Linked DNA regions of Rhinolophus ferrumequinum. The protein of the gene in region 1 interacts with the protein of each later gene in a pairwise test. Links are inferred from orthologs where the notes say so. Each region holds a gene or a part of one and is shown in the gene's direction. Other genes may lie near its edges. The genes, in order: BEND7, NIF3L1, EIF1AD and EAF1.

Region 1 (7,822 bases):
CTTGGTGAATTGGGGCACGTACATCAAAATCACAATCATCTACAATACACCCCTGATGATGCATCAGGTGTTGTTGATGATATGGAATAGCGAGAACTCTCATACACTGCTGGTGGGGGTCTAAACTGGTACAACTACTTAGAAAAATTACTCCACAGTATCTCCTAAAGCTAAACGTATATGTATGCTATAATTCAAATATTCTACTCATGAATTTATACACAAGAGTAAGTGGGCTTATGTCCATTAAAAGGCATGAACTAAAACAAACAAGAATATCCACTGACAGTAGAATGAATTAAAATGTGTGGTATATTTCTATAATGAAATAATATACAGCAATGAAAAAGAATGAACTACTATTGTAGTCAACAACGTGAGTGAATCTTACAGACGTAATGTTGAGCAAAAGAAGCCTGACAGAAAACAGTACGTACTGTATGATTCCATTTATACAGAAGTTCAAGAACAGGCAAAACCAAACTATAGTTAGAATTGTGGCTTTTGGGGGGAGTTATATGCTGTCAGCAAACAGGGGAGCCTGCTGGTATGCTAGAAATGTTCTCTATCTTAATCTGGGGGAAGGGAGCATTACATGGATATATATACACAAGTGAAAGAAACTGATTGAGCTGTACACTTAAGGTTTATGCTCTTTACTGTATGTGAGTTAGAATTAATAAGAAAAAACATTAAAATTTACGTTAAAGAAGGACAGAAAGGTGTTAAGGTTAATGCATCCCATTTAAGATAGTGAGGAACCCACCATGCCATTCGAGTTTCACTAAAAAAATGGTCTTATGAAAACTGACTTTCCTCATTTGCAAAACTGGAATATTAGTATCTACCAACCTCATATAAATTAAGAGAATTAGATAATGTATAAATATCCTTGTGCTCCTATAAGAGAAGCCTCATATAAATATAAGGTAATATTATTTGTAGAGTATTCCAGGATCTCATTTTCACTTAAATAATCTCTTATAAATACTACTTCTCTTTCTTTTAAATTACAATTGTTGAAACCCATAAAATAAATGAAAGTGGAAACTTGAGTTAGGATAGCAACAAAGTGACATATTGGGACTAAAGTAGAGCTGCCTATTCTTTCCATCAGCCTTCTGATGGGCAACTGTTATAAAACTGAAAAGTTACTATGTATACGTATTAAATCTTCCTGAAGTCGCCCCAAATCTACTTAGTCACAGGATTTTCAATTCCAGAGACTCCAATCAAAGATTTACAAACAGCACCAAGCCCAATAATACCATATGGTTTATCTCCTGCTTTTTGAGGGTTATTGATAAAACAATTAAACAATAATCTGATTGTAGTCATATCTATGCATATGGCTCAAATCAGAGTCCTTCTCAATCTGAGCTGTCCAATATGGTAGCCACTGGCCACATGTAGCTATTGAACACTTGAAATTTGGCTGATCTGGATTGATTTGTCCTCTAAGTGTAAAAACCACATCATTTTCAAAACTTCATACAAAAAATGTGAACCATCTCATTGATATTTTATATTGATTACATGTCAAAATGATAATATTTTAAATATACTGGGTTAAGTAAGATATGTTATTAAAATGAATTTAACTTGTTTATTTTTACTCTTTTTTAATATGGCTATTAGAAAACTTTAAAACTCTATATATGGCTAGAATTACATTTCTATTGGACAGCAGATCTCTAAATAAAGGTGGAAATTTTTACAATGCTATTCTTTTTAAGACAAGAGTTTTAAGAATTGGGGTTAAGATCACCTAATGTTTTCTGGCCAAATTTTTCTCCAAGATTAAAACCTTCATTTAATCTTTATAAACAACTGAGTTTAGAAATGGCCATATGATAAGATGTTATGCTTACATGAAGTCACAGAATATTTTATATATATATTGACATGAATATTTAATAACATGTAAAGCTGAAGTTCTAAAACTTTTGAGGGCTTTGAACTATAAAGGGAGATTACCTTACTCCATCTCCTACAGGACTTCCCAGGACAACCCAACACAAAAACAGTATTCAATTAACCAAAAATAATACTGATATGGACTGAATTGTGTCCCTCGAAAATTCATGTTGAAGCCCTAACTCCCAACGTGATGGTATTTAGAGGTGGGGCCTTTGGGAGGTAACTAGGTTTAGAAGAGGTCATGAGGATGGGACACTGATGATGGGATTAGTGCATTGTAAGAAGAGAAAGAGATCAGAACTCTTTTTCTGCCCTTCAGAACTATGAGAAAATAAATTTCTATTGTTTAAGCTACCCAGTCTATTGTCTTTGGTTATGGCAGCTCAAGCAACAAATACAGATACCTACCCCTTAAAGCAATCTCTTTTCATTAAATAATTAATCTTTATTTAATGTTAATTGTGAATATATACATTTTTGTTATACAACGGCATGATGATTTGCATCACATGGAGAATAAATATTTGTTGATTTTCTCTATGTGTTAACAGGACAGACCTGACCTACGGCCTCTGGTGCTGAACTGGCTCATAGACCATCTTTGGAGAGCCAGGAAAAAGAGTCAAGGAAAATGATTATTACTTAAAAACATGATTACTTTGAAATATTTTCTTAACTATATCAAAAATGGTTTCTTTAGTAAATAGAATTCATATTCCCACTTGAACTGAATATGCTAAGTTGTTAATATCTCCCCTAGGAATTTGCTTCTTGGTATGGCAACTTCAATCATTTCATCATAGTTTAAACATAATAAAATCTCATTTTATGCTCCAAGGCATGAATGATTGATCTTAAATGTTCAGTTGGCATAGTACTCAGCCTTGTGGTTTTTGGACTAACATTAAAAAAAAAAAAATTACAAAAAAAGAAAAAGGAAAGGGTCCTAGCCTGGGGAACAAAATCATACGCTTTGTTTCTTTAGAAACACTCAAAACATCTTTGGGTTTTTAACTGCTTGGTTTTAAGGCAAGAGAGAGGGAAAAAATAGAAGAGAACAAAAGAAAGTAGTTGAATTAATCCCTGTTATCACTTTCATCCCTTATACCACCTTTTAGAGCTCCAAGGAGGTCTAAAAAATCTAGACAAAATTTTGTTTGTCCTAAACATATTTTCTGGGAAAAGGGCCTTGATGTTTGAACATAATTTTAAAGGAGATAGTGACCAAAAAGGCTAAGAACCTCTTGTTTAAGGGTTTGCTTGAGTGAACTGAATGAACAATTCTCCTGATACCTGCCAGGCATAACCCGCCTCCCCACTTGCTCCCCCTTAAGCCTCACTGCCTAAGACCTCAGGATGTGTACCAGGCCCTGCTTCTACTACGTGGTTGTCTACCTTGTTCCTTGGTTTTGTTTCCCAGTGTGCGTATGTTTATGCTAGTTGCCTCCAACATCCCCCTTCCTGAAAATTGTCCTACTCTGTTATGTCCCTGCTCAGTAAGAGTGAACCCTGAGTGGCTGTCACCTCATTTGAGTGAGGCCCACCATAGAACTTACTACATTTATCAAGATACCCTTTCCCCTTATTCCTCTCTACTCTTTTGGGGCCACCTGAATCTGCCAGTGCTGAATGGGTTGTCCATCTTTTTACTCTCTGTATTTGAGTCTAGAAATGATCAGTTTGGAGAGGTCCTTTAAAGCATGTCAGATCCTGTACTGCCATTCCCAGGTGGTGTAAAATTCTTTTCCATCCCCAACCTAAAGATGTTGTGAGAAGGAAATGGGGTGCTCTTAGCTCCCCAGACAAGAATATTATATAAAAGTAATAAAAGTATTCTGTTTATGTCAATTATTTTGGCACTACTACATCAAGTGGCAGAGTCCCCCTGTCCCTGCCTCTTCTTCCCTAAGAGGCAGCGGAGGGATCAAACACCCACTGACATCGCACCCCTCATCCTTTCACCCCCTCGGAGTCCCACATTCCAAGTTCTCTCCTTAAATATCACTCCGGATCTTCCTACATCCCTCCTTGTATTGGGGTAACAAATTGAAGCTCACTTTCAATACACTTCTCACCAGTAAATTCTAAAATCTCTTCGTTTCCTTGCAGAGCGCAGATGGGTAAGTTTTGGGTATTTGTGTTTCCTAAAACTTGCCTAAAACCAGTGAGTCTGGCCCTTGGACATCCTGGATCTCAAGTCAAGGAGGGGCTGGCCAGGAGGGTCCCCGATACCCAGGACGATTTATGACAAGATCCGCCCCAGGAAGCGGCGGCCAGAGGCCGGTGGGGAGCGGCGCCCCGACTCCTCGACCCCCGCGGCGCCGGCCTAAGGAGCCTGGGGGAAGGCCGGCCGGGCTCGGCCGAGGGCGCTGCGGCCTCCGGCTCCTCTTCGAGGCGCGCGCGGCCAGGCCGGTGGGTGGCGGCTGCCGGGGCCCCCAGGGATGGCGGCGGCCGCGCTCCGCCAGCAGGTGGCCCTGGGGTCCCGGCGGCGCCGCCTCCTCCCGGTGCCCCTCCTCCCGCGGGGGTGGCCAGCGCCCCGACCCGGCCCGCCCGCCGCCCGCCCGCCGCGTCCCCGGGGCCGCGCTCGCCACCGCCGCCGCGTCCGGAGCTGCGCCCAGGCCGGCCCGCGGCGACATCCCGGGGCGCCCGCGGCCCCGGCCCGCCCTCCCCGCCCCCAACTCGCTCCCCAACGGAAAGTTCGGCTCCGGCCGCGTTTTCCCAGAAGCCGGGAAGGAGCCGGGGTCGGGGGGCGTGTGGAGGGGACCCGGAGGCGGCGGCCGGGAGGGGGCAACTTCTCCCGGGAAAGCACCTCCTGCCGAGCCCCGCGCGCCGCAGCCCCCGAGCGGGTTCGAGGTGGTTCTTCCCTTCCCTCGGCCTCCCCCCTGCGGATTCCAGAGACGGACCTTGGTCCCGGCGCTCCCGCGGCCGGTTGACAAGAGCGAACGCCGCCGCCACCGCCGCCGCCTCGGCTGCCGCTCCCTCCGCCCGGCCGCAGCCCTGCCTCCCGCCTCCTGCCCGCACCATGGAGTTCTCCGAGAGGAAGAGGAGCAGGAAATCCCAGAGCTTCAAACTGGTGAGCCGAGGTAAGCGGTGCCGGGCCGGGCGGCGGGGAAGGACGTGGCGCCGCGTAAACAGCCCCGCGCGCGGCCCGCGTCCTGGCGGCTCGTCCCGCTCCGGGGCTCCGGGACCCCCGAGTCCCCTGCCGAGGCGGGCCATGGCCGCACACGCCGGGCGGCGAGCAAAGTTGTGCCGGGGGAAGGCAGGAGGTTGTTGTTCCGCGTAAACAAGTCGCAGGGCACTAAGGAAATTAGCAAACAATGACACTTGGGGAGCAGAGAGCCCTCTTTGGTATTCCACTCCTGTGGCCAGGTTGGGGGCTGGGGGGAGAACTGCCTTTCCACCAGGCCGTGTGGACACATCATCCCGACCAATGGTTGTGGTCTTGGGTTTTTCGTTTTTATTTTTGTTTTGTGTTTTTTTTTCCCTCCCCAAAGAGAAACAAAAAAGGTGGTGATGGTTCTTTTAAGAATGAGAAAGAAGCTCATGAGGCGTACAAGCCCACGTAAGAATTGTTGACATCCAGCATCTTTTCTAGATACGTTATTTGGAAAGGTGTTTCAGAATAGATCACTTAGCAGTCAAAGTATTATTTAAAAAATAAAGATCCAGCCAGTTCCAGACGATTTAACAGGTGTACACCAAGTTGGATAGTGTCATCAGTTGAACAGTCTGTGTTCAGTTACTTGTTAGTCTTTATTTTCCTGATGTGACTATTTTTAAAAAAACGGTCAGAAGTTAAGAGCAGACGTAAAGATATGTTTATCAAAATGCATTGTGTCACCTTAAATGACAGGCAGGTGACTTTTTTTCGTGGTAATGTCACAAGTCCTAATATTGAGTTTAGAACCATCCTGTTGAAATACCTTCTTTAAAACAACTTGAGGTCAAAACCAAACCACAGAACCTGTCCACTTTTTGCTTTGTCTAGCTATGGAATCAGAGTAGCGAACAAGGCAATTGTTTTAACAACCTGGAGAAGTCACATGTAGTAAGCAGATGAAAATTAGAGAGCAGTTCCAAGTAATAGAGTATTTCAAGCTAAGCTAAACTACAACTACCGGTATGATGTAGATTCAATAAAGCCTGCTTTAGCTTAGTCTGAAAATGGTTTTATTATAGACATTTTAAAGATCAACTCATATCTGTTTCCCCTGATTTAGTTTGACACTGTTTCAATGAAAGAGACCTGAAATAGTTTTACGTATTCAAAATATTTGCCCCTTTCCTTTACCTATGTTCATTTTCCCAAGCACTGTTGATTACTCAGTCATTTGTACTTTAAATATCTCTTCCTCCATTTGTGACTGGCTTATGGGTCTATCTGATTCATTCAGGAATGTGAGCTGCTCTTTTATGTATGACCTCAGGGAACTTACTACTTTATCTTAAAAGTGAGAGTAGTTCTGTAGACTTTGTCCTGAGAGGTCCAAGTCCAAAAAAAAAAATGTAATAGTTGTTAAGAAGGAACCTCTATTTTCTTACCTAGGCAATCCTACATTTTAGAAATAGATTGCCAAAGCACAGTAGCCTCTATAGAGAAGCTTATAAAATACTGTATTTTTAAAGTTTGACCAACATAGCAAGTTTTTCTGTTGTTTTTTTCCCCCACGAAATTATGGGTCTGATTCTTCTCTCTGCACTGCAGGTGCATTTTTAGAAAATAAACTACTGCATATTAAAGTGCAGTAGCTGAATGCAGAAGAGTCACTTGTGTAAAAGATGAGAATCTTGCTTTCTTATCCAAATTATACTATATTTGAAACGACAAATCAGTATTTTTCCAGTGTGATTGCCTGTAAGCTACTTAAAGGTGGGGACTTTTCTGGGTAAACTGAGAGTGCCACGTAACTCTAAAGCATACTGTTATATGCTCATGAAAATGGGTTGTGGAGATAAATTTGGAATCCTCCCCTGGCCTATGATTGGGCAAGGTTTCTTTTCCTTATAAACATCTTTGTGATTTGAAAGAAAAGAAGCCTAATAATTGGCATCTGTGGGCCAAATTTACTGTGAAAACCGGGTGATCAAACAAAGCTAAAGTCAAAGTGATATTTCAAGTTTGTGTACTTCTTTAGTCAGAGTAAGCAAAGTTTTAGGGATTCTCAGTGACTACAAATTCTATGACTGACCGAGTCCTGGAAAAGAATATTCACAAGTTAAAGTGTCGGTTATCCATAATATATATAATGAGATTCTAGTCTTTATTGCTTATTCATATCTTGCAGGCCATTAGAATTCTAATTTTTGGTTGTTTTCTCGTCCCAGATTATCACCATGAGGTATATAAGATTTCAGAATTCAGCAACGATGTCAATGGGGAGGCCAAAGAGACACAACCCATTTTTTTAGGTAGGTTCCTATGTCAATTAAATTCTCAGCAAAACAGCGTGGCCATTTGCAATTGGGGGGGGTGGATGGGGCAGGAGGGAAGGGGTTGTTCCAGAACGGGAAATGTCAGCCATTCCTTAATGTATGACATTCTTTTCAATACCTTTTATTTCACAGATTGCCAATATATCCCGTATTAACATTGCTAAAAGTTGTAATTTCAGACATAAATGTTTATTAGTGTCTACACACAGTGCTAATTATCACTCACTCCCAGAGCCAGATGCTGACGGTGCATTTTTGTCGCTCTGCGTTCACCCCATTTACTTTGCATATTTGCTGGCATGCTTCACTGGCAATAGTTTGTGTAATTGGGGTATTACATCTTTGACATCTGGATAACAGAAATTCAATTTCCAGGAAGCTGCTATTTGTTTGGTTTTGCTTCTGCCTTGGGTGGGATAGAGGATTAATACGCTGTCTTATTATAATGTCCCTTCACCTTTGTGGCCTG
Region 2 (7,006 bases), on another chromosome or scaffold:
AAGATTCCAGTATATATTTTAGGTTAGAACTACCATTTATATTTTCTCCTTGATATCATTTATTAAGTGTGCAAAAACTTCACAAAAAAAGTATTAATATTTGCTTACTAATAATGTTACCTTGTGTTACTAGAACATATGTATCGAAATTTCCAAGTGTAAACAAGGCATGAGAAAACAGATTTTGAAGCACTGGGGACATACCTTAAGATATTCACTGTATTCATCCTCAAATTTCTTGCCCCAGATACTATTACCTCCTCTTCCGGTACCTATATTACAAGACAAACAGAAGTATCTAATTAAAGTTGAGAAAGGGTTTATTTTCTAAAACTTAAGGGCTGGTTTACAGTGTAACTCTTTGAATACAAATAAAATTTAGTATGTCCTCTCTTACTTCCCAAAATTTCACTTTACAAACCAGAAAAATAAAGTATCTGTAGAAAAAATAAAAATGCTCCTTATTAGTACTATTCATATTTTAGGGCTAGGTGCTAGTAGCTTCAGCTTAAAAATTGCTTGCTATTGTAAGGTAGCCCAGTTATAAAAACTCCACATGCTTTTATTTTCCTACTCTTTGTCTACCCTCTTCTTCTCACTATAGACCCAATTCCCTAGCTATTAATGGAGTAACTTACCTGTAGGATCTCCTGTTTGAACCATGAAACCCTTGATATTCCTATGAAATATACAGCCATTGTAGTAATTACTGGCACAGAGAGCCAAGAAATTCTGAAGAGAGTAAAAACAATGATTGAGAAATCATGTAGCAGAAACAAATTTAAGATATAAAACTAATTGTATTTACTGAAAACACTATAACAGCATATTTAAACTATGTTTTTTAGGCATTACTTTGGATAATGTTGCTTCCCTGACTAAAACACTTTAATGGCTTCCTTCAGTTCTTGAAATAAAATACAAAATCCTCAGCAGGGCCTAATAAGCTCTGCATGAGCTGGTCCAACTCTACATCTTATATGATAATAACCCCATCCCTGTTGCTTACTATGTTAACCCCATCAGTCTCCTGAAAATTCATCCAAAAGAGGTAGGCTTTCCCACTTTGAGGCATTTGTATCTGCTATCTCTATATCTGGAATGTTCTTTTTATATATCTTTCCATGGAGATGCCTTCATTACCTTTCACACTCAGTTTAAGTATCACTTTCTTGGGTAGGCCTGCCCTCACCTTCTTTTAAATAATTCCTTTCCCCATTATCCTCTATCTTAACATTTTATTTCCTTCAAGGCATTATCACCCTCTAGAATTACTTTTTTTTTTTGAGAATGAGCCCTCCCACCCCACCCCACCCTTACTCTGGCCTATTTTCCCACCTAGAATAGTATCTTCACAAGGGCAAGGAATGTTTCTTGTTCATCACTTTATTCCAAGACACTGTCAAGATAGCCTTTTATAAATAATTGTTGAATAAATAAATATATAAAGCTGACTCTTCTTCGTTCTATCCTTGTCATTTAAACAAGTGAGATAATGTAAGGAACAGTTTTCTTACCTGATATTTCATGATTATTTATGTTTCCTGAGGAAAATGAGCCAAAAGAAAAAGATACCAGCCACTCTATGGTTAGAGAAAAATTATCTACACTTTCTTTGATCCACTTTTGACATCAAGAAAGTTTAAGTTGAAATTAGGCCAGAAATTATGATGGCTGGCTTTACCTGACAATGGTTTTATAGAAAAGGTTTTTGGCTATTTATTGTTGGTTATTTTTGAATCGTTCAATTTCAAAATAGTTATCTGCTGCATTAACTCTTTTTTTTTTTTTTTTGGTACATAATGATACTCACTTCACATGTTTTGGGTGTCCTCTCACAGAAGACTTCTATTTTAATATCACCTACATCTGTATGCAGTGTCACCGACTAAAAAGGAGAGAGAATGTGAGAAAAACAGATTTCTTCAGGTGACTTTATGCACTGTATGATTTCTCTAACTAGATATTAAAGATGACAGCCTAAATAAAAACAGATAGAAATACTGTTTCAGAGATGACCTGTCCACATAGAAGCTCTGGGAGATAAGTTATATTTCTTCAAAATTTACTTCTGCAGTAGGAAAAAAACTCCAGAAGATAAATATAAAGTTTAGGGTAAAATAGCACCTATGCTAAAAACTGGGGAGCAAATATTGTGATGGAAATAATTATTTTAAGTTTCAATTTTTCATCAATAAAAACAATTGTAATATTAGTATTATTGATTTAAATGGCATTCACTAACATCACGGACATTTACTGAACAATAGTAAGAAAATGAATTTCAAAATATAGTTTCCACCATTTCCCTTATGTAATTTACTTATGAGATGCAGAGCTAAAAAACAATTTCTTTCTCAACTAAAGACAAGACGTAAAAAGTGTCAGTGTTTCTAGATTGTAAATGTGCAAAGGTAACCATAGTACTCTGCATGCTTGCTTTTTGTTTGTTTTACCTGTTATTTTGGTAGCTTGAATATTCCTTTTGTTACCCCATTCCAGAAAGAAGGAAATGTATTTTGGGGCTTCCTTTTTCATTTCTATTCTTGTTAATAGTATCTAGCATTCAGAAAGTATGCCCAGGTTGAAAATAGAGAGGAGTGTGTGTGCCTGTTGAGAGCACCGGGTGGGGTGGGAGTGGGGCAGGACATTATTTTCATTGTTTTTCACCTACTTATAGCTCTAGCTGCTCGCTCACCTTAGATACAGAGAAAAGCTTCCAATTATAATGATCACACCTAGCTATATCCTTCTGCTCCTCCTACTCACCTTTTTCATCTCTATATCTTGTAGTCAATCTTTTTTCCACAAAATATAAATTGTGTGTTTTAAGTGAAAACAAAAACAATTTAAAAGTAATTTTGCTTACTTCTGGTTTTGTTTAGAATATTTTCAGTGTATGATTCTACAGCTTACCACTTTTCTTTGTCTTCTTATTGAAATTTCCATGCCGTTTTATTTCCCTTGACTAAATTTCTAAAAATTACTTACAATGAAAGATATTCATAAGAATTCTATAAAACTTACCATTTTTCTTACTGTTACTTAATTTCTCACAGTCTTATTGAGAGAAGTTCGAAAACAAATCTCTATTACCAAAAGAAAAAAGAATTAAGTTGATTTGTCTCTCTTACCTCACTCATGCTCACGTTTACTGCATACTTAAAAGTCTCGAAGAGCACCTCCCAAGAAATAAAAATCCGATTATGGAAGTGATGAGGAATTCCGACTCAAGCCCCTCAACCTCCTACTTCCCCTACTCACTGTTCTTCAAGAGCCTCCTTGCAAGTCCTTCAACAAGCCGACTTGGGGCCTAGAAATTGGCTGCTCCCTTCGCCTGGAACGCTTACACTCAGGCATCTATACGGCTATTTTCTTCAGCCTCCAAGTCTGTGCTCAAAAGGCAGGTCTCATTGACTTGATAACTCTATTTAAAAATGCCTTAACCCTAGTACCTGTCCTATTTTCTTTTCTCCATAGCACTTATAACTAATATACCATATACTTCATTAATTTATTAAGTCTGCCGTTTCCCGCCCAGAATGCTCACTCTAAGCAGCCTAAGAACTAAAACACACTGCTCTGCAAGCATTTAAATAAGTTAATGAAAGAATGAGCGCGTTACCCCATACTTACTTAACCACTTCGATTAACACAACTGTAGCTAAAACAGGAAAGATGCAATCGCAGATACCTCCGCCAGGTCTCTAAATTGAAAATTAGTATCTTTCAGCCACCGGAAGTCGAGCGTGGGACACATTCGAGAGAACGCCCCTAATGAGCTTGCCTCCTTCCTCCCCTCTCCTCCCTGTCTCAAACCCAAATGTCTAAAACTAGGGAGACAATGTAACTTACCCCTACCTGAAACACTTTTGACAGTGAAAAGGAGCTCTTTTAATAGTTATATTAGGACGAGACACGTAGCCCGGAACTATTATGGGCAGCAATCCTTGGACTCAGAGGTAAAAATGGGAAGGACCACTTCCTCCTGATTCCCTTGCCTCACTTATTCCCACAGGCCGGAAGTCCCGCACGGGACCGGAAGTGACGCACGAAGAGTGTTCCAGGACTGGTGAGTTTTCAGCGACTTAAATCCCGGCGGACTTAGGTTCTTGTGGCATGAGGCTGTTGTGTGCAAAGTGCAACGACAGGGGTCCAAGAGGTGATAGAGGCAGAAAACTGGCTTGCAGTATGAGAGCGTAGGGCACTAGTGGGGCAGGAGTCCAGATTCAACGAGTTACTGGCTGTGCCAAGGGCTCTTTCTTGTCCTGGGAGAGGCCTGAAGTGGGACGGAAGTGAAGGGTAGATGAGGTAACTTAAGGTGTAGTTTGCAGGCTGTATAGTGGGACTTACTAATGTTACTAAACACGGGTCAAGTATTGTTTCCAGCTTTACGGTTAAATCTTGAGGCAACCCTATGAGCTGGGCATTTATTTCCATTCTTTAGCGGTGGAAACCACAGAGGTTAAGTAACGTTACACAGCGGTAGCTTTGGGAGTCTGTCAGTCTGATTTCAGAGTCGTGCTCTTACCCACCATGCTCTGCCGCCTCCCATTATTAATTGTGGCATCAAGCTACGCAGAGTTGCAGTTTCCTAATCTGTGAAATGGCGACGGGAGAGGGGAGGTGGGTGTCTGTTATTTCCAAGTGCTCTTTCATAAGTAACAGTAGATAACTCAACGGGGGCTGGCCCACTAGAGCTTCACTTTTGCACTTGCCAGATTTAGAAGAGTCTGGAGAATGGAGAACTATCAGGATGTGGAATGTGCAGAGTGGAAGTGGTATTATAAGGACCTGAGAAGATCTTCCAGTACCCCAGGCTTGAGTGGTTAATGGAGGCGCCCCATCACTTCAAATCCTATATTGAAGTACTACTCACATCTCAAATATTTTTGCTGTAGAAATGTTGCCCCAAATCTGCTTTTGAAATCATTGGGTTGTGAATATTAAATTTACAATTGGCTATGCTTTCTTGTTAATTATTGGGCATACAATGAAATGCTTTTCTTAAAAAACAAAAGTGTTTACGGTTATTAATTTAAGAATGGAGTTGACAATGTTATCTTTTGTATTGGATATGGTTGTCTTAGAAGGCTTACAGACTCTGGGCAAAGTGCCCTCCACCTTCACCTCTTGAGCCTGGCCTTCCTGTAGCAGGTGTTGGTTCAGGGGCAGCAGCTCCTGCCCTTTGAGTACTTTTCAATGCCAATATATACCACCCTAACTCCCAAGTTCTGCTGTGATGGGGGAGGGGGATTGTGTACATCTGTACAGTAAGCATCTAGTGCTGGCCTATGTTGGTGATACTGAGACGTATGAAAGATAGTTCCTATGCTCCTGTAGTATTAGCATACTGGGGAGACAAACAGGAATATAATATTATGAGAATACCAGGGCAGAGCGGGGTGGGGCAGGGAGTAGGGAGACACTGAAAAGAAAGGTTTGTCAAAAAAAGCTTTATTTAGGAAGTTGAAAGGAACTTGGAAGATAGGGTAATATTTAGAGAAATGGAGAAGGGAGGAGAGTGGTGGAAGCTAGGGTGGGGAGAACAAGAACAGGGGTGTGGTGGGGGCCGGAGAGGAGGGGATGAACATTTGTGTATTATGTACCAGTCTTGTGCTAGTTGACTTACACATATTAATACATGTGCTCCTCCAGATGGCCTGTGAAGGTTGTAGTATTTCCATTTTGTAGATGAGGAAACAAGTTCAGAGAGGTTACATGACTTACCCAAGATAATATGTGTAGCGCAGGGGATCCTGCCGCCTACGCCAAGTGTCGTGCGGAGCATCCGGCGGGGTCTCTGGTCCCACTACCCACACAAAAACGCAGGATATGGCTAGGCCAAAAAGGAACACCCACGGAGCCATAAGTAGGGGAGTCATATCTCTATACTCTCGCTGGCGGCTGGGTTGGAGAAACAGGAACCAGGAGCCACACAATTCTCAACCCTCACTGCGCCGCTTGCAGGCTCAGCCACCATCTTCTTGCTAGCTCCCCCCTTTTTCTGCTAGCCTAGCCACGGCAGTTATATTCGTGGCCAATGGCTCACTGGTTACAGCTGACGGCCAACTAGCCACAGCTGCTGGCCATTTGATCACAGTCGATGGCCATTTACTACCTGAGCCAGCACCTTTCTATGTGAGGCTGAGAGCCTGGAAACTGCTTTTTGGGGCTCTGTCCCCACAACATGTAAGTGCAGAGCCAGTATTTGAACCTAGGTATGTATGACTGTAGCTCTTTTGCTCATATGCTTTATTGCCTCAAAAGTCTGGGCCTAAAGTGTACATGTGTATCATTTTCTGTTCTGACTTCAGATACTCAGTTTTACCTGATTTCTGTATGTTGTCATCTCGTGTACACCTGGTCCGCACGACAGTTCGGCTAGTTCATTCCCTGATCTGCAATTCTTCCTGTTCCTTCATGGATTTGAAGGCTCTCCTTTCCTCCTTGAATGATTTTGCATCCCTGTCGTTTGCTGAGAGTTGGGACAATGTTGGATTACTGGTGGAACCAAGCCCGCCACATACTGTAAACACACTCTTTCTGACCAATGACTTGACCGAGGAAGTGATGGAGGAAGCTCTGCAAAAGAAGGCTGATCTCATTCTCTCCTACCATCCACCTATTTTCCAACCTATGAAGCGCATAACCTGGAAAACCTGGAAGGAGCGCCTGGTGATTCGGGCTCTGGAGAACAGAGTCGCTATTTACTCACCTCACACAGCCTATGACGCTGCACCCCAGGGAGTCAACAGCTGGTTGGCTAAAGGGCTTGGTCAGAAGCCTCTTCTTTTATGTTTAATATTTTCCTTATACATGCTTTGAAATTTTAGAATGTCTTTCTAATAGAGTTTTAACTGCTTTAGGGGTGGGACCATTCTATTTTTACATAATATATTTAAAAATAATGTTGCTAAAATCTGGCAATTAAATTGCATTTGAAAAATAAAATTTTTATGATTAATGAGTAAGGAAAGCATAGGGAATCTTCGTTGCTGGACTG
Region 3 (7,937 bases), on another chromosome or scaffold:
TCTGAGCACTCATGAGTAGAGTGGCTGAGGGGGGTCAAGCTCTGGCTGGGTGCAGCAGCGGGGGAGGGCTGGACAATGACTTTGGGTCAATATTTGCTGACTTTCAGGCCCACCCATACGCCTTGCCAAGCACGTCCTGTTGGGTAACATGGGCTGACATTTAGATAACCTGGTATCTACACATCCCCACCTGTCTGCTTTCTCCAATATCGTAGGCCTGGGGCCCTTTGTCCTACTGGCTGAGTTGGGGTTGGATCTCTGAGAGGCCACACTGTCTCAGGGTACATTCAGCATGCCCTTTGTCTTCTGCTGTTCCAGGACTGATCCAGGAAGCTGTGCGGGGTGCACGCAGGGGCCAAGATAAAGGGTTCAGGCCTTTCCAACCTGTCACCGGTACTGCCTGAGCACCGAGGGAGGTGAGAAAGCAGGCTCCAGCTTCCTCAAAGCGTGTGGGTGAGGCAGAGAAGAGCCCGTGACATGGAAGCAGAGCAGGCAGTGTGTCCCACAGGGTTCTGGCAGGCAGGCCTCGGTGCCAGAGCCATGGGCGGCAAAACTGGACAACTAGCGTGGGCAGGACCCTGGGAAGGGCGCTGTGGAGGAGGAACCAGTCTCCATTACCTCAGAGTGCCAGCAACAATCTGGCAGCGTCAGGGCTGGGGTGGGGGAGCCCCCCAAAGCACACCAGGCCTGTGTGACAGCATCACAGCACAAGAGTCAAAGCTGAGGGGACTCTGAAGTGACCCTGGACCCATCCAGGAAAACATCAGAAACATAGGTAGGCCTGAAACTCCTGGGACAGTCTGCATTACCATCTCGGTCTGGGCTGCAGACTGGCACCCTCCCAGGAGGTGGCCTGTAACACAAGCCGGGCCCTGCTCTGGCTACCTGGTGCCCTTCCAAGGGAGCCACTCAACTTCCCAGACCCAACCTTGCTCGGAACCCTCATCTGTACTAATAACCACCATAGTTTCCAGTTACTCGTATAATCGCTCTATACCCAGGTCTTTACTTTGGTTTCCCTTTTATCTTCCTTCTTCTATTGAGACGGAGCTAACGTCAAGTACACAGAACACTTCTGTTCCCTTTATCAGTTGACACCTGTACTACCACCACACAGGTCAAGAAATGGAAACTGCCACTCCCGCCCCCAGGCTGTCCTGCTCACCATACCCACGTCCCACTCCCAAAGGCAATCATTGTTGACATTTGCAATAACCCATTTCCTTGCTCTTTCTCGTTTTACCACCTATCTAGAGATCCCTAAGCAACAACTGACCTGACTTTACGTGTATATTTTGATGTTTGCTCAGTATTGAGTGTCACCTTTGTCCCACAGCTGTTGTGAATTCATTTCCCCGGGTACTGACAGCCATCAGAGCTCTTCCAGTTGGGGCTGTTAGAAAAAAAGCAGCTCTGAAGGCTCCCGTCGGTGCTGGAGCAGGTGTGCGAGTGTCCTCGGTCATAGCTCCAGGGCAGTGGAATAGCTGGCTCACAGGGTGGGTGTTCAGTTATAGAAAACACCCAACTGTTTTTCCCAAGTGTTTAGACCAATCGCCATTCCCACCAGCTGGGTATCAGTTCCTGTTGCTCCATTTCCTCATCACTTGGTATTGTCTGGCTTAAAATTTCTGCCAATCCAGTGAGTGTATAATAACACCTCATTTGCATTTCTGATTACTAATGTAATTGTTTTGTTTGCTTTTCTTCACTGCAGTTATGTTATATACTCTGGATATAGTACCTTGTCACGTATGTGTTACAAATATCCTTTCCCACTCTCAGTCAGTTTTGTCTGTCACTCTCTTTATGGTATCTTTAGATGGAGTTTCTACTAATGGAGTTAAATGTATCAACTTTTTCTTCTTAATTTTTCCCTACCCTGAAGTCAGGAAAATCTTCTCCTGTTACCCCAATGTTTGTATTTAATGTGTGTCGGTCTGTCCTCACCAGACTGGGAGCCCTCTGAGGAACGCCCTTTACGCAGCAGTTCCTCAGCGAGGCCCCACTCAAAAGACTGAAAGCCAAGCAGGGCTGGGTGCTGCACAGTTAGCATTTCATCTGATCCTTACAACCATCTCATTTTCCAAGTGGGGAAACTGAGGCTCAGAGAGGCTGAAGGATATGACCAAAGAACACAGGGCTCTCAGGTATATGGGCTTCTAAGTTATTTTGAGAGCCAATGGGGGCACTTCCTAGCAGAAAGTCCAGTCTCTCTGAGTCCCTGGTTTCCTCACCTGTAAAAGAGAAAACAATTCTTTACTGTGGAAGAAAAAAATATTGATAAAGATCTTAGCTGTGGGGCTGGTTCACTAAGCGTGCAATCAAAAATAGGATGAAAATGTACCAGATAAAAGTGTAACTCGCCCTCAGCTGTGATCCCATGCTCTCTCTGCCTCCCAGACCGCAAGAGCCCTGCCCACTCCTCCCAAAGGCCAGGAAAGCACATGATGATTAGCAGGTGAACTTTTACCCACATTCCGTCCCCCTCTTCCTGGTACCTCTGACTCCCACTTCCTTTTCCACCAGGTGCCGGCTAGCTCAGCTACTGACTCAGCTGACATCGGGAATGGCACAGCACACCTGGATCCCAGGAAGGGACCAACCCACACTCTCTCCCATGTTACTACGGGATTGAGGCACTCTTGAGGCACCTGCCTGAGGCTTATGTGGCTAGGGTGGCTGCCCTCCGGTGTACGGAGGAAGCTGCCAGTTTCGACTGGCACTGATAAGGAGTGTGACAGACCTGATCAGCCCCTGGGGAAGAGGCGACTCCCAGCCCATCTGTTTTTCAACGCACAAAACCCAGTCCTGAAGGCCACTAACTTTATTGATTTAAAAAACTTTGTAAGGACAACGACTATTCTGCCAAAAGAGAAGCCAAATGGCATAAAACAGACCGGCGAGGAGGGTGTGGGTGAGGGAAGGGGCCAGGAATCCACTCAGAAAAGCTGGTAATTATCAACATGAAATTGGCAGGGGAGAGAAGAGAGATGCATGCAAAACGAAGAACTTCTGAAAAAGTTGAAATGGTAAGGGGAGAGAACTCCCTGAAGACCCTGGATGACACTGCAGGCTGAGCAGACATCAATCCTTTGTACAGGGCAGGGGAGGAGCCCCCACTCGGCTGCAAACTCTGGAGACTCAAGGCTGGGGCTAGGGACTGGGGGCTCCCCAGAGTGCATCACAAGAAGGCATCGCACCACTCTCGGAGGCACCCGAAGCAGTCCCGGGACTGCTTGGCATTGGCGCCACACGTGTCCTTTAGCCATTCCCGGAAGAGGTCTTCATCTTTCTTAAGCACCAGAAACTGGCCAAGGACCACATACGCCTGCAAAACAGGCAAAATAAAAGGCATGCTATTCAGTGCCCTGTGGGACTAAGAACAAGGCCACTCCTGTGGCATTCAGAGCACATGAGCCTAGGAGGCAGGGCAGGCTCTGGCTACCTCTTCAGATTATATACCACGGTCCTCCCCCACCAGATACACTCACTTTCCTCGCTCCCAAACTGCCAGGCAATACTGTAGTCTGCCACCCCCAGCCCTCCCCAGCTGCATGCAGCCTCCGCACACCTTGTCAAAGCCCCTTTCCTCCAGCTTCTTGCCCAGGACTTCACCAATCCCGGCCAGGCTCCCCACTGGCTTTTCCCCCATGGGCTCTGCCACGAAGTCTCGATGCTTTTGGGATGTTGTCATCTTGATCAGGATTTATCTACGAATCCCAAGAAAAGGTAGGTTAGGACTGAAAACCCGGGAACTCCCAAAGGCCCACTGGCAATATCATATTTAAAGGAAGCTAGACCAGCGATTATGGTGGGTTATTCGATTCCCCTCATTTCACGGATGAGAAAACTGAGGTCCAAGGCAAGTTTTTCCCACTACTCAAGAGAGAAATCTCTCTCACTCCCTGCGGGAACGGGGTTTTGGTATTGCCCCAGAGGAAAGACTATCCTGCCCTATCAGGTGGCGCAGGCCGGTCAGTAGCCAGAACTCGCCCTGAAGGTGTCACTCCCTCTGTGACCTTGGCTGGGCAAAGGAGGTACTGACTCTGCCTGGAAGGGCTATCCAGCCAGAAAAGCAAACAAAGGGTCCCCCTGCCCCACCCGCCCCAATTGGCTGCTCAGAGAGCACAGGCACGGGCCAGAGCGCACACCCCAGCTCAGTGCCCCAGCCCCACCAGGTTCACGTCTGGGCTCCCGCCGCGCCTCGAAGGCCCCGCCCCCGAGACGCGTCGCCCCGCCTCCTCCACGCGCCGCCGCGCCCGCGCGCCGCGTCCCGCCCCTCCTCGCCGGGCCGCCAAGCCCTCTCCGAGGGCGCATTCTCTGGCTGGCCGTGGCGCTTACGGCTTCCCTCCTTCTCGCGCCTCCTCTGCCTCCAGTCCAAGCCCTGCTGTGCAGCGCGCGCTCACCGGCAGCTTCAGCTCCCGTAACGGATACTCCTACCGCCCGGCTGCTCCCGCCGATACCTCAACTCACTAGAACGTTCTTCTACTTCCGCTTCCGGGTCGCCTCAAGAGCCACTTAAAAAATGTGGCACTTCTAGCCACTCAGAGCCATAGAGATGAGGCTCCCTGGACCTCACGGCGGCCTTAGAAGGGGCTCCTTTCCGGTCGCTTCGCGGGAAACCGGGCTGCCTTCTATTGTCTCGCTTCTCCAGAAGTACTTCCGGTCTCAAGGAGCAGAGGCTTCGGTGGAGAAAACTTTATTTCCCCGCTGCACGGCATCCGGAACTCAAGGACTTAGCCTTTGGCGATCTGGGGGTGGGAAGAGTTAAAGGAACGGACAAGGAGGGAGGAGCGTGGCCGAAGGCTTCCGAGAGGCCGCCGGAAGTACCGTACTCGGAAGGGTCCGACTCAGGCCGATTCGTGTCGCCCTCACCGCTGTGGGACTTGTACGAGTCCGGCAGGAGCTGGAGACTCCGGAGATCTGTGTCCAAGTTGACGCTACCGTCGTGATCGCCGGCAAGTTCCTTTTCTACGAAGTGAGTCGTGGACGAGCCGCTCCCAGCGAGCGTCCAGCCTGAAGAACGGAATCGTTCAAGCAACGCCTTTGGGAGAAGAGGGCCAGAAAGTAAGTGTGGGGTCTGTGCGCGTCTTACCTCCGGGATAGGGAGGGAGGAGGGCAGGAAAAGGCAACCTGAGGTGACACGCGGAGTTTCCTTTAGAAACCACCAGTCTTGGTGGTGCCAATTCTTGTTTTCTCAGAACCCGTCAGAAACATAGCAGATGCCGCAGACCACGCCGGCTTTCCTCGACCTTTAATGAACTCGTTCCTGGCTTGGACCATCTCGGTGGTCTCCAAACTGGTCTCTTGTCTGTAGTCTGTTGAAGTGAGTATCTGTGTTGTATGGCTGTGCTGTATTTGGGATGTACAAGCATATTGAGGAAGATAGTTTATCTCACACTCCTCCGTGAACGGTTGCCAGAGTGATTTATTTAGTTTTTATGTTATGCCAGTACTTAAGACAACATGACTTATTTTTATCTGCCGTACACTGTGCTAAGTGCGTTGCTCACATCATTGCATCGTAATGACAATGTTCTGGGTTAGCTGTTATTTTTCTTTGTGGCTTGGGAAAGTTAAACAGTAAGGAATGTCAATGTAAGAACGTCCAAACCCATAGTTACCGGAGGGTGTCCAGGTTCTTGGCATCTGGAACAAAGAATTGAACGAGATACCGTGATCAAGTGGTGGAAAAGCAATTTATTAGAAGAGATAGTACTCTCCAAGGAAATAGAAGCGGGCCGAGCAGAAAGCAGTGGCTCAAGGACCATTAAGAAAAGGGATAGTACACTCCAAAGAGTGTGGAGCGGGCTGAGCAAAAGAAGAGACTCAAAAAAGGACCCCGGCTCAAAGGCCCAAAGGGCTAAGGGCCCAGGATCAAAAAGGGCCTGACTGGGAGGACTTGGAGTTTTTATCCTTTTTTCCCTCTAGAATGGGCAGTTCCTTTGCGGGAGTGGGACCACTTGATTGACACCTGTGATTGACAAGAGGCTATTACCTCATCTTTTTAGACTGTGCATGTTCTTTCCCAGAATTCAGTCTGTTATAATGATATTAATGAACTCCCAGGCGTATGTATGATATTATAATGATGGGATAATGAGGCCCAGGTGAAATTGTGGTCTTTGCTGCTCAGGAGTGAGGGGCTGGTTTAATCTAGTTGGGTATTTTGTACCCATTTGTTCCTCATAGGCGCAGATAATTACAATGAAAAGGGGAAGTTTTGGGCGGAGAGGGGAGGTCTTCTGGGCAGTCGCATTCTGTTCAGGGATGCAGAGACCTGATGCCTAGCTCTAACTGCGTGCCTTGTTTTCCCCTTGAGAGACATGATCCCCATAAAAACTCTATGGGAAGTTGAGGGACAGAAGGTCTTTTTTTCTGTATCTGCTTCCTGCTGGACGGGGGCGAAGATCTGTCCCTACCTATTGGGGGATTCACGGAACTCTCGCCCTGTCTGATCTCAGGTGAGAGGAAGGGGTCTCGGGACCTGCCTGGAAGACCATGTTGGCTTCTTTGGTTGCGACTGGCAATCTTGCTGGGGTATCCTCTGTATCCCCAAAGCCCCTGAATGAGGAAAAATAGATTTTAATTAATAAATCCATTAGCACTATGGAGCCTGTGGCCATTCAACCATTTAGGTGGCATCAGTTGTCCAGGAGCTGGGCCCAGAATGGGTTGAAAAGAACCTTAGGCTTCACTGATTACAATTAACAAGTATACTGGCCTGGGGGGTCTGGAATGGCTTGGAGGATGTTGGGAAGTCATAGGCTTTTAAGAGACATTCTCTGATTCAGGCGAGGAGCACTCTTTAGTCTAGGATTCAAAAACTGATCAGAAGAGTAATCAAAACCCGGGGCTAAGGAGCTAAGAAACTAGGGAAAAGGAGACTTAAAATTTCTGTAGTGAGGGGCTCTCCCATATCACCATGGAGAATTTTTATAAGAGTTTGAGCCAAACCGATGACCTATGCTAGCAAGCAAGATCTAAAATGCTCTGGAGAATAATAGTTTTGCAGTTTGTTTTATGCCTTAGAAAGTAAGGAGGAGGGGTCTAAGGAAGATGACTTGAGGATGGGAGAAAGCAGGGCAGGGATTGGGTTGCAGAGTAGTTAATAAGATTATGTGCTATCTTTGAGGGTGGTCGTGCTTTAGAGGGGTATTACTTGGCTGGCTTAAAAACCTTTGACTAAAGAAGTTATATGCCTGGGGTGTGACCACCCATCATGACCTGCTCATTTCTGAATTTATGATCAGGTTACTCTGTTTCCATGGAACCCCTTTTTTTCGTCCACAGGAAATAGTCAAGGTAGGATTTCAGTTCAAGCAATTAGATGTTAGAGCCCACGTTCTTAACCAGGACACTGTGTCACTCCCCAGTAAAAAGTCCCTCCCCATCTTCAAAACAGTCCTGGGTTCTGAACCTGCCATCCAAGAAACTCAGGAGCAGGAGTTGACAGCCTCTGCGTCCCTCACCTCCCGGAACAGGACCCAACATGTCTCGGGCCACCAAGAGGAAGCACGTGGTGAAGGAGGTGCAGGGGGAGCACATGGTACCCTCCGAGAAGCAGCAGATCGTGAGGGTGAGTAGCATTGGGCACAAGCTACTCCGTCCCCCACCCCTCCACTCCCGTTGGGCCCTGGGGTGGGGGAAGAGTGCAGGGTGGCGCAGGGGGTCTTTGAGCTAGCTGATGAGGCCGACTGGTTCTTGGTCTCTCCTGGACCAGGTACTCAGAACCCCAGGGAACAATCTGCACGAGGTGGAGACAGCCCAGGGGCAGTGCTTCCTGGTGAGCATGCCCTCCAAATACCGCAAGAACATCTGGATCAAGAGAGGTGAGAGAGCCGTCTAAGACACAGAACCACTTCCAGTGACCTTGGCTTCCCCCAGTGCAAGCTGAACTGACTCGACCTTTTCTCCTCTCTACCTACAGGGGACTT
Region 4 (7,424 bases), on another chromosome or scaffold:
CACTGGTGGATATCTCCCTAAAGCCGGGGGAGGGATGGGACAGAAAAGCACTATTCCTGGAGAGGCAGAGATACTTGTGAAGTCCACACCCCCGAGACACAGGCGGACTATGCAGTTCAAAACCCGATAATCAGAACATTAGAGAACAATCCCTTCTCCCATACTCTCCCACAAGTCTCCAGTGATAATAGTGGCCTGCAGCTGGAGAAGCTGCCAAGAGATAGACTCTTTATGGGGAAGAGCCCAAGGGGAAGATCCAAAGCTAAGGGGAGAGACAAAAACAGTCACCAGAGGAGACTGAAGTCTGTGGTACCCATAGCAGCAATAAACCTCACAGCTAACTATAGCAACAACAGACCTCAAACACAGCCCGACTATCTAGATTACAAATCCTTATTACCTCAGTATCAACTGCCCTATATAACATATCTAGCTCTCAACAACAACAAAAAAAAACCACGGCATACCAAAATACAATAAAAAAAGTCTGAAGGGAAAAAGCAATCATCACAACCAGACTCAAATATGACACAAACGATGGAATTTAAAAAGTTTGGGCATTTAAAATAACTGATTAATATGTTAAAGGCTCAAATAAAAAAGGTGGACTACATGCTAGATCAGATAGGTAATTTCAGCACAGAAAGAGAGACTACAAAAAGAATCAACTGGAAATGCTAAAAAATCAAAAACATAGTAACGGAAATGAAGAATGCTTTGACAGGCTCATTAATAGGAATGCCTATTGCCTATGAAGGAATCAATGAACTTGGTGACAGGGCAACAGAAATTATACAAACTGAAAATACAAAGAGAAAAGAAGTTTAAAAAAACAAAAAAGCAAAACAACATCCAAGAGTTGTGGTACAATAGCAAATGGTATAACATACATGTAATTGGAATCCTAGGGGAAGAGAGAATAGAGCTGAAGAAATATGTGAAAAAATAATGACAAAAATTTTTCCAAATTAATAAATATAAAAAGAATATGTGATTATATAACTCCTAAACAAGACATAAAACCTTAGCACCTCAAAAGGAACAGACTAATAAATTCAAATTTGATAATTTAAATCCTATCATAGAACAATATCATAAAACAATGTTGAATAAACTATACTTAATCCCAGTGCTTACAACACTCATTGGCACACATTAGGCTCCCAATAAATATATGTGGAATAAAGGAACTCACAAGCAGAAAAAAACCCAAACTAATGCTTATTTACATATTATAAAGACTTCAACTTCACTGGTTATAAGAAATAAACAAATTAAAATATGGAGACATTTTATTTTGCCCATAAGATTGGGAGAAATAAAGACTGACATCAAATGTTGAGGGCATAGAGAAAAAGTTATCTTTATGTTATTGGTGAAATTATAAATTGGTATAATATTCTGGAAGGAAACTGGGCATTATCTATTAAAATTTAAATATGTATACTCTTTCTCCGAGGAATTCTATTTCTTCCATTATTCACCATAGAGACACGTGTACACATGTTTTGTAGAGCACGTGCACAATGGTGATTACGTTAACCTTACTTATAAGAGCAGAAAGTTAGAAACAATTTAAATAAATATCAACAGGGTAATTGTTAAAATATGATATATCCATTCTACGGAATACTGCAGCAGGTAAATAAAATGTAGTAGACCTATATATACAAAGAGGAAACACTGCAAGACATAATGTAGAGTGAGAAAAGTTAAGTTACAGTACAATGTGACTGCACTATTAAAAAGTCTAACGGATGCCAAAAATGTGAAGGGCTGATGGAAAACTAGATATCTGCATGCTGCCAATAAAGGGTAAGTAGATCTTGATTAAATACAGCTATAAAAGATACCTGGGACTATTTGGGGAAATCTGAATTGAGTACTAATGGCATTAGGGGATTACAATTAGTTTTGTTAGATGTAAGTATTTTGTGGTCAGTTAGAGAAAACCCTTATTGAAGACGTATGCAGGCATATTTAGCAGTGAAGTGTCTGTAATTTACTTTAAAATGGTTCAGGAAAGAAAAAAGTCTATAAAACAAATGTGGAAAAATACTGGAAATCATTAAATCTGGGTATAAGTATATAGTGTCATTATGGTATTTCTACTTTTCTGAATAAAGCTGTTTCTATAATGTGTTATATATGTATGTAAACAGGAAAACTATAACATGTTTATGGTGATCACAGCTGCTTAGCTTCAGGGAGAGGTCTGGAATTGGACAAATGGGTATAGAGGGCAGGTCAAACAAGTCCAACAAAACAATCATAAAATACCAGGATGGTGCACCAACCTTGACATATTCAACTGCTCTTGGAGAAAAATCACAGGCATAAGCAAAGATATTCAGATCTTCTTCTAAAAGCGGGAATAGACAGTTCCCAACCCCACAGCCAGCTTCAAGCATAGTCAATTTCTGACCTTCAAACTGAGAAAAGAGAACTCAAAGTTAGAGGACACTATATTTGCATAATGAAGAAACAAATCAAATTAAAAGGTCCAGAACATGAAAGGTCTCTGCCTCCTGGAGCAGACAATAAACAAGTAAACTGATATCCAAAAGCTAATACAGATATCTCAATTTGTCATCCAACATGGGGCAATTTGGTGTGGAGAAAACAGGATAATGGCTAAGAGAACAGGCTCAGGGGTTAAACTGCTTGCATTCAATCCAGACTCCTTCCTTCACCCGTGTTCTATCATTGGACAAATCACTTAAATAACCTTTCCCTCAATTTTATCAATAAGGGGATAATACTAATGCCTACTTCACAGTTCTATTATAAGGCTTAAATTACAAAACACATGAAAAGTTCTAGAAAAGGGTCATGGTAAAGTGTTTATCATCATCATCATTAATGAATCTGAATCTGTCACTGAAGTCACTTTGTATAAATTTAATATTTACAACTTTCAGATTAGCTTTAAAGAAACAGAAATGCCCATTCAAGTTCTTTCTCCTACGTATTATACAACCCAGGAACTGCTAAAACTACTTGAGACCAAACAGAGTATTTCTAAGGTACAAAGCATTCTGACAGGCTTCATAAATTCTCTACCTCACACTTCCATAAAAATGCAAGAAAGCACTTCTCTTCTACATATTTTAAACGAAGAACAGCTCAAATAAGGTGTAACATTACCTCCCTACATGATCTGAGCTCCTGAAACTCTCGGGTGGTCCAGTGTCTATCTTTGAAGAAATTCGTACTATTTCTTTTGTAAAAAAGGTCCCAGTTCTTCTGAGCCTCTTTTTCCAGTTTTTGCTGTTTAAAGTCAGACACTAAAACTTGGTCTCTTTTCAGTTTCTCCTCTTCTTCAGAGCTGAGAATCCTTGCCTGAAGCCCTTCCCTTTGCAAAGATGCCATCTCTTGGGGAAATGGTAATGGAGTTAACACTGCTGAAGATGCTCCATCCCTGAATAATTTGAGGAATCCAAGCTGAATCTGCAGCTGCAGGCGGGGTTTTCTTAGATGTGGTTCCTCAGGCTGGGTTCAAGCCTCCGGGAGCATTTCTGCTTCGCAGGAAAAAGAATGAGATTTTGGTTAGTAATTTTAGAGCAGTTCTTTAAGATACTGAGTTAGTGGTTCTACAACATTCCTTTCACCCAAAAGTTCAATATACCAAACGTTTACTAGTGCTGACTCTACACAAAACCCTGCCCATTATAGGAGAGGTCACAAAGAAGAGCAAGACAAAGCGCCTACCTTCAGAGGACTTACGTTCATTGGCCCTGGACTCGCCTGCACCGAACACTAATTCAAACCAGACTAAGTCATCTATTATAATAAATCGGTTTAGTTTAGAAAAAGGATACTGCCAAGAACTCGTTGGGAAACCCTGGAGGGAAAATACTCATTAATTTTCGGTGCGCCTCTGAAAAGGGTGACTCTACAACCGCAACAGGTGCCTGAACTGGAGGAGGGTGGTTAACTGCCAGACAGAAGTGGGGGTCATGGTTTCCCAAGGATCGGAGACGCAGTTTTTTTCGGGGAAGATGGAACTACTACGTTCGGGTGGCCTGAATCTCTGATCGCACTCACAAGAAACTGCCTCAAACCAGCGGGGGAGTCGCTTTCCAGGCCTTCGCACCGCCATCACGGCGCGAAGGGAAGGAAGAGACTGCGTGACGCGCGGTGTAGGGTCATCTGTCTCGGGACACTCGGGATAAACCAGGCCGACCCGGCCGCCAGGGCCTGAGGAGAGCTGGCCAGGCCAGCTATCAGACGCGCGTTAATCTAGTCAGCGGCGCTCTGGGCGCACTGTCATCAGCTCCTAGACTCAACTGGAGGGGTACTTAGTGTCAGGCGCATTCAGCCCTCCGCCAGGCCCCTACCTCGGAAGCAGAATTTGGGAGCCGCCGCGCCAAACCCGCGTCTGAACTAACCAGCGCTGAGCAGCTCAGACTCCCGGCGGAATTCTATTGCTATGGCACCGCCCCCGCCACTTCCGCTACGAACCCAGAAGTCCCTCCCCGACGCCGGAAGTCCCGAGGCCTTGCTTCCTCAGGGGCTTCCCCCACCCCGACGCGGAGACTTGCTTCCGGCCCTGGGTGGGCGCCGGCGGCATTCCCGGTGCGCTCCGGAGCGGTGTCACGGGAGCACCGTACTCCCGGACGCCGGTGCCGGAAGCTCAGATCGCGGCCGTACTTGGGTAGCGCCGGGCCGGGCGCGAGGCCCGTGTGGGGCCATGAACGGGACCGTAAACCCGCTGCTGGACCGCGAGGAACACTGCCTGCGGCTGGGGGAGAGCTTCGAGAAGCGACCGCGAGCCTCCTTCCACACCATTCGCTGTAAGTCAGCGCTCTCCACGTGTCCCTTCGGCTTCCCCAGCCTCCCGGTGCCAACCTCGGATCCCTCCTCTCTTCCCTCGGCCCTCCACTGTACAGAGAAGCCCCTGCCTACGTCAGCTCCCTTCTCTCCTACCCCGGGTCCTCCAGGACCTCGATTTTCCCCTTTTGATCCTCCAGGACCTCGATGTCCCCCCTTTGGCCCCCAGCTTACTCTTCCCAAACCAGACCCTTCGTCACTGTCAACTATTCTTGTGTCTCAAGGTCCCAAACACTTGTTCCGAAGTCCATTGGCCCTTCTCTCTTTTCATGCCCCCACCCACCCTTCCTGCCAAACCCTCTTTGTTACCGAAAGAGTGTGACCCCACATCGGACTCCAGTGCTCCCTCGAATCCATCCCCCGCCCCTTCTGATGCCCCCACCCAGGTTCTCCACGTTTAAAGGACTCTTCCTGTTTGCTCGGGAGCCTCATCCTCTCCCTTCTATTCCATTCTCTTCTTCCCTGTTTTTCCTCAGCTTCCTTTCCTCGTCCGTCTTTACTCGGGGCACCCCGACAGGCTGCGCTTCATCCCCTCTTGCAGCCAAAGAATCCACATCCTCTCTGCGCCCCATCAGAGCGTTCCTCTTACAGCTTCCTGCACCTCGTTTGACTTTTGATGTCTTTTGAGGTCACTTCTACGACCCTGACTTTAACTCAGGCCCTGGTCCCTTGTGGATGAAGAATAAAATTAGCATTTGTGAGCCTGGAATAAGTTAAAGCTTGATCTATGTCTGGAGGCCGAAGAGAGTAGACACACAGACTATCGCAATCGCCATGAATGCTGGACCTTCCTTTTTCTACGGGATTATAGACTGTTGAGGAAGGAAGGGCACGTCTACTCTGTCCCGGGGGAAGATTGGCTTTTATGAGCTGACGGAGCATCCGTGATTCACAACTCCTGGTTTCCTGTCTCGGTAGTGCTAACGCTGGTTAAGACTTGTTTTTGTCAAAGGAGCTAATAGATGTGACTCAACACATTGCAAGAGGGCGTTAGATAATGATGTTCCATCTTTGTGTGGTGGCTCTGCCTTGCCATTACGATGATTCCTACTGGAAACATCAGCTCTCTTAGAGGGAAGATACTGGGAATGTGATAAGAGCTTCATTTCCTGAGCAGTTTACTAAGTTGATGTTTTAGCAAAGTGAAGGGCAATGTAGAATTTAAATGAGACACTTCACATATGCATCTGGCCTGCGTTTTGAGGCAGGTGTGTGTTACAATGGATGGAGTAAGATGGCCATTCATGTTGTACTTGAACTGCAATTCAGAAACATGGGCAGGACTAACCTGTGGAGACAGTTCAACCATCTACTCTGAACATCTGCAGGAGTATCTTTGTGTGGCACATCCTAATTTTGACAGTTCCTATGCAAAATGACATCAGCTTATATGATGCTGTGGCATTTCATGTAGAGTTTTACAATCACAGAATCTTATTAATATGCTGTTGCTTTTGAGCCTCACAACAACCCTAACAAAACACTTTATTGTGGATAATAAGCATTCATTTTCATCTGTCACTGGGGAGAAGGGAATATCTTTGTTTAATAAAGTGGTATGTAAATTCTAGATTTTTTTTCCCTTCAAAATAATCCAGTTGGGGGTTGGGAGGAAAAGTATATCAGGGTATAGATGAAACAAGATTGTCCCTGAGTTGGTAATTATTAAAGCTGGGTGATGATGGTACACCGAGTTTCGTTGTAATGTCTCTGCTTTTGTGAAGTTTTCCACAGTAAAATAGGTTTTTTTTAATATTCTAAATTATTTGTACTTTCTATTTATCTGAGTAATAAAAAAAAATATTTCTTAAATGAGCACACCCAGAAAGTCCTTAGTATAAGTAACCTGGTGGATAAATGCTATTTTTCCTTTCCCTTTAGATGATTTTAAGCCAGCATCTATAGATACTTCCTGTGAAGGAGAGCTTCAGGTTGGCAAAGGAGATGAAGTCACAATTACGCTGCCACATATCCCTGTGAGTTTATTCCATTGTTGTTGTCTTTTTAAATGTAGAATCACTGTGAATCCTCATATTTCATGTTATTACAATTTGAATTTCCTACTGTTTAAAACTTTCTAAAGTGCCAACAGAAGGAAAAAGGAGATTTGGGGTATAGCCTGGAGTGGAATTCATGCTTCCCAGGTGCTTGATTAAATATTATTCTTGTTGCCATTTTCCCCACACTCCCTTTCCCCCCATTTGCTACAAAGTAGACAAGGATCCTACCTGGGCACCTAGCCCCTCTTTTAGACATAGAGAAAAGCCCTAGGTGCCATGCTGATATATAGCAATGACAATTTAGGAGAGTGGGGCTGCCAAACCAAGAGTTAAGTTAAGGCGGGTAGGAGTAGGATTTACTTATTTCATATATCTGGCAGAGGGTGAAGTGTAGGCCGATCATTTCAGGCACGAACCAGAGGTTCAGAGCATTCAGCTAGTTGAACAATGCAGAACTTAGTTAAAAGCTGAACTGAGAACCTTTGCAGAGAGAGGCTTTTGTAAAGCCTTGCCCAAGGCAGCACTCTGATCACAAAGCCCGAAGGATTAGACAGAATTCTCTTAGCGAACATGTGTCATTCATTGCATGTC

The links.
Region 2: the proteins of BEND7 (region 1) and NIF3L1 interact in binary tests that used the Homo sapiens proteins (3 or more experiments, as listed by UniProt). The two-hybrid records come from large-scale screens. The link is inferred for Rhinolophus ferrumequinum from reciprocal best matches to the Homo sapiens genes BEND7 and NIF3L1.
Region 3: the proteins of BEND7 (region 1) and EIF1AD interact in binary tests that used the Homo sapiens proteins (3 or more experiments, as listed by UniProt). The two-hybrid records come from large-scale screens. The link is inferred for Rhinolophus ferrumequinum from reciprocal best matches to the Homo sapiens genes BEND7 and EIF1AD.
Region 4: the proteins of BEND7 (region 1) and EAF1 interact in binary tests that used the Homo sapiens proteins (3 or more experiments, as listed by UniProt). The two-hybrid records come from large-scale screens. The link is inferred for Rhinolophus ferrumequinum from reciprocal best matches to the Homo sapiens genes BEND7 and EAF1.

The regions. Positions count from the first base shown.
Region 1 is NW_022680355.1:355,375-363,196, reverse strand, and holds the start of BEND7 (BEN domain-containing protein 7), read left to right. Parts: upstream 1-4,805; 5' UTR 4,806-4,942; coding exon 4,943-5,003; intron 5,004-7,245; coding exon 7,246-7,329; intron 7,330-7,822.
Region 2 is NC_046291.1:30,355,915-30,362,920, reverse strand, and holds the start of NIF3L1 (NIF3-like protein 1), read left to right. Parts: upstream 1-4,006; 5' UTR 4,007-4,072; intron 4,073-4,721; exon of another isoform or gene 4,722-4,868; intron 4,869-6,095; exon of another isoform or gene 6,096-6,221; intron 6,222-6,317; 5' UTR 6,318-6,342; coding exon 6,343-6,778; intron 6,779-7,006. Other genes in the region: PPIL3 (peptidyl-prolyl cis-trans isomerase-like 3), read right to left, coding at 205-272, 639-732, 1,814-1,888, 3,135-3,143. UniProt on the Homo sapiens protein: May function as a transcriptional corepressor through its interaction with COPS2, negatively regulating the expression of genes involved in neuronal differentiation.
Region 3 is NC_046294.1:5,843,919-5,851,855, forward strand, and holds the start of EIF1AD (probable RNA-binding protein EIF1AD), read left to right. Parts: upstream 1-4,925; 5' UTR 4,926-5,067; intron 5,068-5,201; 5' UTR 5,202-5,326; intron 5,327-7,376; exon of another isoform or gene 7,377-7,484; 5' UTR 7,485-7,492; coding exon 7,493-7,579; intron 7,580-7,723; coding exon 7,724-7,832; intron 7,833-7,930; coding exon 7,931-7,937. Other genes in the region: BANF1 (barrier-to-autointegration factor), read right to left, coding at 3,182-3,328, 3,572-3,694.
Region 4 is NC_046300.1:31,205,274-31,212,697, reverse strand, and holds the start of EAF1 (ELL-associated factor 1), read left to right. Parts: upstream 1-4,417; 5' UTR 4,418-4,432; coding exon 4,433-4,796; intron 4,797-6,714; coding exon 6,715-6,809; intron 6,810-7,424. Other genes in the region: tRNA N(3)-methylcytidine methyltransferase METTL6, read right to left, coding at 2,298-2,432, 3,148-3,372. UniProt on the Homo sapiens protein: Acts as a transcriptional transactivator of ELL and ELL2 elongation activities.